2 linked regions of the Nothobranchius furzeri genome follow. The protein of the gene in region 1 interacts with the protein of each later gene in a pairwise test. Links are inferred from orthologs where the notes say so. Each region holds a gene or a part of one and is shown in the gene's direction. Other genes may lie near its edges. The genes, in order: fgfr1a and grb14.

Region 1 (3,829 bases):
CTGGTGTGCTTTCATGGCTTTTGTGCTGGTGGTTAAAACCATCATCAAGGTTAAGTGGTGTGGGCTGTAAGGAAGTCAGTAACCAGTAACTTGCTTCCTTTGTAGTCCCTGTGGAAGCAGAGCTGTTCACCCTGTTTCTTGGGAATCGCCTGTATCTGAGCTGCTCTCCCAAAGACTCCATCCATACTGTGAACTGGACCAAAGACCATGCTGCTCTTGTGGATGGAGAACACGCCCACATCCACAACGGTCAGCTGGAGATCGAGGCCGTGGAGCTGACAGACTCTGGCTTGTATGGATGCACCACCTTTGGCAACCACAGTGTGTTCTTTAATGTGTCAGGTACAAAAACACAAAACTGTAAAATGTTTTCATGTGTAATTCTTGCTTGCTGTGCTTCTGATTTTGTTAGAGATGCACGATTGAATATTTCCTGTTTATTTTAGTAGTTAGGCTGCATTTTAATAAGCAGGTCATAAATACTCATTTACTCGTCTTATGTTGCAAATAACTTCCAAGGTAGGAATGATTCTTTTTGCAAGATTCAAAATAGGTTTATTTTCACAAATCTGACAAATGAAGTGAATTTTTAGTGTTGTCTTTTTTTTTCTTTTTTTTTTTGTTATAACTTCAAGACCTCTTGTCCTTTAATGTTGCATCACTGGTGAACCTGAATGTACATAAAGTTGAGTTCCCAAAATGCTTTTCTGCCCACTAGTTGATATATTGGCATCATCTGAGGATGATGACGATGAAGAGGAGTCTTCATCAGAAGAAAACAAGCAGTTGGCCAGTCAGAAGCTGATGCGTAAGTGGTCAGATCTCCATATACTACCATTGCTGATTATTGACTCACCCAAGAAGGATTGTGAGTAATTGTTGGGAACAGCCAGTGATTTCAGAGCTTTATAATTCGATTATAGGCGTGCCGTGTGTGTGGGTCACAACCGGGCTAATTATTTCACTCAGATTCAGACCTTCTCCACTGCCTCTGTGACGGCTCTTACATGATTAATGTTCCTGTGGTGATTAATCGTGGTTAACCTTGGATGAGCCCCAACTTGTCTATAGTGTAATTAAAACAGTTTGGCTTTCTCATCTTCTTGCTACTTCCCGCTCAGCCCACAAAGAATCCAGTAGCTGCCAAGCATGAAAAGCATGTCGACCTTGAGTTTGTTGCCCGACTTATCTCTCAATGAAATTTACACTCCACAAATGACTTTTTTGAAGCTGGAGTTTTTAATTAAAGTGTTTGTTTTTAATTAAAAAGAACTGCCAAGCTTTTAAACTTGAAATGTTTTTGTGATGACTGTGATTTTGAATGCATTCGGTTGTGGTCTAGTTTATACTTGGCATTTTGGTTTTATCTGATACAGTGGGTACAGAAAGTATTCAGGCCCCTGTCAACATTCACTTTGTTATATTGCATTCACTTGCTAAAATCAATTAAATAATTTTTTTCATTATTAATGTACACACAGCACCCCATATTGACAGAAATTTCTGCAGAGTTATTAAACAAGAAAAACTGATATCACATGGTCCTAAGTATTCAGACCTTTTGCAGTGACACTCGTATATTTACCTCGGGTGCTTTCCATTTCTTCTGATCATCCTTGAGATGGTACACCTTCATTGGAATCCACCTGTGTTCATTACCCTGATTGGACTTGATTAGGAAAGACACACACCTGTCTATACAAGACCTTACAGCTCACAATGCCTGAAGAGCGCAGAGACAGAATTGTGGCAAGGCCCAGATCTGGCCAAGGTTACAAAATATCTCTGCTGCACCTAAAGTTCCTAAGAGCACAGTGGCCTCCATAATCCTTAAATGGAAGCACTTGCTAAAAGACACCTGAAGGGCCCTGAGATGATGAGAAATAAGATTCTCTGGTCTGAGGAGACCAAGATAGAACTTTTGCCCTTACTTATAAGTGGTGGTGTGTGGAGAAAACCAGGCACTGCTCATCACTTGCCCCGACTAAAACTCAATTGAGCATCTCTAGAGAGACCTAAAAATGGCTGTCCACCAACGTTCGCCATCCAACCTGACAGAAGTGGAGAGGATCCCCAAATCCAGGTGTAAGAAACCTGTTGCATCTTTACTAAGATCATTGCTGCATTAGCTCATAAGGGTGCTTCTGCCAAATACTGAGCAAAGGGTCTGAATACTAAGGACCATGTGATACTTCAGTTTGTCTTTTTTAATAAATCTGCATAAATTTCTAACATTCAGTGTTTTTCTGTCAACATGGGTTGCTGCGTGGACATTAATGACAAAAATGAATTTAATTGATTTAGCAAATGGCGGCAATTTAAGTTTGAAAAATTGACAAGCCTGAATACTTTCTGTACCCACTGCATACTCTGTATCTAATGTCCCTTTCAAATCAGTCACTGCTTTTCCAAAAATGACAAAAAAAAAGAAAATAAATGTAAATTTTTAGCTTTAAATGGCCCAAATAATTCTTACAAATATTTTACAGGCAGAGAGTGTCCTTAATTAAATTTAAGGTGATTTGTTCAGATGAGTGGAAATCTGAAACAATCAGGGTTTTAATTCCCACCACTAAGGTTGTGGGCAGTCTGCAAGAAATTTTTGTTTTCCTAAGACCACTTTTTGTTTCTTTTTAACCAGATAATTCTTTAGTTAAAAATTCTAAATGTTTTAAATTCCCTTCATTTAAAGCATGTATTTTGCTCTTGTGAATAGCAATGGCCCCGCAGTGGGCTCATCCAGAAAAAATGGAGAAGAAGCTTCACGCTGTTCCTGCCAGTAAGACAGTGAAGTTTCGATGTCAGGCCAGCGGCAACCCAACTCCCACTCTGAAATGGTATAAGAACGGAAAGGAGTTTAAGAGAGACCATCGCATCGGGGGCTTCAAGGTAAATAAGAAATTAGCGTTGATCATCTTTTCCTCCTATTGACACTTCCAACTGTTTTACCTTCTATTTTTAATTCTGGGATGTTTCACTACCAAGATGAAGAGTCTGATATCTCCACATTAGCTCACAGCTCCTCCCCTGGAGTAAAGCACTTTCTGCGGGTGTATAGGAGAGACAAGTTTCACAGTTGACTTGAGACACAATGCTGTTTGAAACCCTATGCTATCAGAAGGAATATTGTGCTACAGTTATACCTTTAGGTCGGCAGTCCTAGCCATCTGTTTAGGTGAAGCAAAGCAGCTCGCTGTCCTCTTCCTGGGTGACACTGATCATCTTTTCCGTAATTACATCCATGCAGTAGTAAATTTACCTCCTGTATTCGTGAAGGTAATGTGATTACTCTGTCTAAATTTCTTCCTGTTTGCCGGCAGCCTGTATTTAAATTTGTGAGGGTTGAAATGAAATAAAGATGGATAGGACTATTACCTCGATTCTAGTCTTACCTGATGGGTTGGATCTTTTATGGATTTCTTTATGCTGTTGTGTAAAGGCTCTAAATGTTACAATTGTATATATTCAACTAATTTGATTTTTAGGGACTGGAATAAACTTTAATTCTACACTTTATTTGTTATTGATTACAGATTTAAGGGATTAAAAGTGTTGGAACCAGGTTAACCCGCTTCTAACTTAAGGAAATTACATTCAGTGATTATTTTCTCACAGGTGTGGGATGCAGAGAGTCTAAAAAACAATCTACTCTCTTACGCACGTCTGTTGCTCTCATCAAGGTGTAGGCTAATCCAGCCTGCTGCCTTTCTTCCCCAGCCTTCTCCCTCCACAGCTGGGACACATTTAGGAGTTTCCTCTCTGGTGCCCCTAGTCCCTGCTAAACCCTCCACCCAGCGAGGCAGCACATCTGTTGACAGCATTTCTTCAT
Region 2 (3,069 bases), on another chromosome or scaffold:
CCTGGCATGTTAAGATAAAGTGCTCCTAATTCAAATTTGCCACAAAACATAAAACAGGATCCACCCCCCCCCCCCCCCCTTTTTTTTTAGAGAAGAAGCTGCCACCGTTTGAGCGGTCATGGGAGCCCCTCTGCTACTCAGAGTTCAGTGTCAAGCTTAGGTTTGTCAAATTCTTCTTGAACTATTCACAAAATGACAAAAAAGTTGTAATATTTCATCTTTATGCATCAGCAATCCATTTGTCCCAGCCATGGTTTCATGGTAAACTGTCTCGAGACGAGGCTCAGCGTCTAATAACCCATCAGGGTCCCATTGATGGGTACGTTTTCTGCTTTTTTCCCCCCACACATTTTCTTTTTTAACCCTCTGGAGGCAGGCGTTGCAGATATGCAACAGTTAACCCTCTCAGGCTCAAAATAAGTTTTGATAAAAGGACGAGCAACTAAGTTCTTAAGGGGTACTACTGAGTTACAAAATGCTCATCAAATACGTATGTGGCGTAACCAGGTAGGTAGGTTTTAACGTTGCAAATCTGCAACACCAGAGGGTAAAAACCTACCTACCTGGTTACTCCACATACGTATTTCATGAGCATTTTTAACTCAGAAGTACCCCTGAAGGACTTAGTTGCTCATCCTTTTATCAAAACTTACTTTGAGCCTGAGAGGGTTATGGTATTTTAACTGTTATTGATACAAAATGGCTGTATCATGGCATTTTGTGCATTGGTTTTATGCTAAATGTCAGCGCTTTGGGCTTCCTGACAGGGTTGCGGAAGGCGCTTTATAAATAAAGCTTTGATTGATTGATTAAATGGCAGTGATAAGCCTTTTTTTCTTGTTTCAGAGTGTTTCTTCTGAGGGACAGCCAAAGCAACCCAAAGACATTTGTTCTGTCGCTTTGCCACATGCAGAAAATCAAACACTTTCAGATTCTACCTGTGAGTAAAGCATATCTTTGATTATAAAACACTTTGTGTTCAACTAATTAAATGCCACAAATACAGTGGTGCCCTCAGAAAACGTTAATGGAGGTCCTTGGGCACCCCTGGCCACCCTTTGGGGACACAGCTGCACAAATGCACCCAGCCATTCATGCATCATTTTATTTTTGTAGTTTTTTTGTTTCCAACTTCAGAAAACCTTACCACACTCAACACTTGTGTTTAAGCTTCACCTGTGACGTCATTCTCTTCATAAAACACGAGTGATTCTGACTCATAGATCATTTGTCTGATGTCTTGTTCTTCTAGGTCAAGAAAAATCTTTATCATTTTATTTGTCTGAAGTCACTGATACGATGTGTAGAATAAAAAACCGGGATAGATTAAGTCTGATCCCCTGACAGACCTGTTATCCAGAGGCTTTTGGAACACAGGAATAGTCAGTATAACTTCAGATGAACCAGCATCTTTAAAAAAATAAAAGCTAGAACTAAAAGGTTGATGAATTTTTGTAAGAGTAGTTAGTCTGTGGAATGACTTGGAAGATCAGTTAAAACAGGCCGAAACAGTAAAAACATTTAAAAAGATGTTTAAATTAAATCAAGTTCAGAAATGTATAGCTCAGGATGAATAAAGCTAGAAATCAGTGAACAGCGTTTGAAACAGATCCGTGTAGCAGATGTAATGAATTAAAAATCATGATTTAGTTGAAAATAAATTACTTAAACATGTTCATTGTGAGACAGATTTTTTATGTTTAAAACAATCTTAAATATTAGCTAATATCTCTGTTCGATACCAGATTTGGTTTATTATAAAAGTTTGTGTCTGTTTTTCATAGAATGTTAATCGGGTTAGCCATAATAAGTATTTACTTCAGCCTATTCCATTTAGGTCATGTTGCATATGTAAATTGGATAAAAGTTTATGACTTTCATGATTATATCCCTCAGGTGGATGATGAAGGGCAGGTGTTCTACAGTTTGGATGATGGCCACACTCAGTTCACAGACTTGATCCAGTTGGTGGAGTTTTACCAGTTAAATCGAGGGACCCTGCCCTGCAAGCTCAAGCACCACTGTACTCAAATCACCCTCTGAAGTGGGACTCGAGAGTCTCCAGAGGACCCCAAAGCACCTTAACTCTGGCTTCTGGACGAACAGTCCAAGTGGGCTTGTGCCTTGAAGAAAATTCATGAAAAGACTTTTTTTTATATATGTGGTACAAAACCCACCCTTATTTTGTTATTACTACGTTATTATTATGTTTTTTTAGAAGACCATTTTCAAAATAAGCTGTGTATTAAACGACTACTGGTGCTTTAGATACCATGCAACCATGTTTATGGTTTAGTGATGTGTCGCTTCGAGACAGGAAGTCTGTTTTACAATGTCTAAACTTGACTTCCTGCAGTCACTGTAAAGCTGAATGCATTTTGTAAACAGGTAATGATTCACAATACAATAAAAGAATGGTTTAACCATGGTTTAGCCCAAGGGCGTCAGTTTGTTTTCAGAATTGCTGGGGACAATAAAGTAGGCTAGCACAGGGGTCGGCAACCGCGGCTCTGGAGCCGCATGCGGCTCTTCCATCCATCTGACATCTGTGCTTGTAAAATAATGAATGGATATTTAAATAAAATGCTTTATATTTTACTGCATTAATTTTACATCTGCAAGCTAATTCTAAATGTAAAGATTGTCTGCGTAAACCTGAGCAGGTCCAACCCGGTCTTACTGTGAGACCGGGTTGACGCGTCACGCTTGTGCGTAATCATATGCGCTTTATGAGCTGAAGACAATGTGAGATTCTGGAATTCTCCTCAGACGGCTCCTGGATGCGTCGCCACATTGGAGACAGGAACAAGCGCTATTCAGCCAAAGTTTCATAATCAGGGAACATTTTCTAAGTGACAAGTCTCTCTGAGAGACCGGGTTTGGAAAACACTCGCTTCAGTGGGAGGAACCTTCCCACATGCGCTCTGGTTCTCTGGGTGGCTCTGGGGTTAATCAAGTTTAATTGTTTCTCTTTGCAACAATCTTCACAGGAAGGCAAAACAGTTAAACGGCAGGTTACAGATATTTCCATTTGACTGTTTATTTTGACAGATGAACTCAAGGATGTTG

The links.
Region 2: the proteins of fgfr1a (region 1) and grb14 interact in a two-hybrid assay, tested with the Homo sapiens proteins (2 studies listed by BioGRID, with this or other methods). The link is inferred for Nothobranchius furzeri from reciprocal best matches to the Homo sapiens genes FGFR1 and GRB14.

Annotation. Positions count from the first base shown.
Region 1 is NC_091757.1:34,228,895-34,232,723, forward strand, and holds part of fgfr1a (fibroblast growth factor receptor 1-A), read left to right. Parts: intron 1-105; coding exon 106-342; intron 343-718; coding exon 719-808; intron 809-2,716; coding exon 2,717-2,889; intron 2,890-3,829. UniProt on the Homo sapiens protein: Tyrosine-protein kinase that acts as a cell-surface receptor for fibroblast growth factors and plays an essential role in the regulation of embryonic development, cell proliferation, differentiation and migration.
Region 2 is NC_091754.1:19,777,079-19,780,147, reverse strand, and holds the end of grb14 (growth factor receptor-bound protein 14), read left to right. Parts: intron 1-90; coding exon 91-160; intron 161-231; coding exon 232-319; intron 320-846; coding exon 847-940; intron 941-1,896; coding exon 1,897-2,043; 3' UTR 2,044-2,428; downstream 2,429-3,069. UniProt on the Homo sapiens protein: Adapter protein which modulates coupling of cell surface receptor kinases with specific signaling pathways. Binds to, and suppresses signals from, the activated insulin receptor (INSR). Potent inhibitor of insulin-stimulated MAPK3 phosphorylation.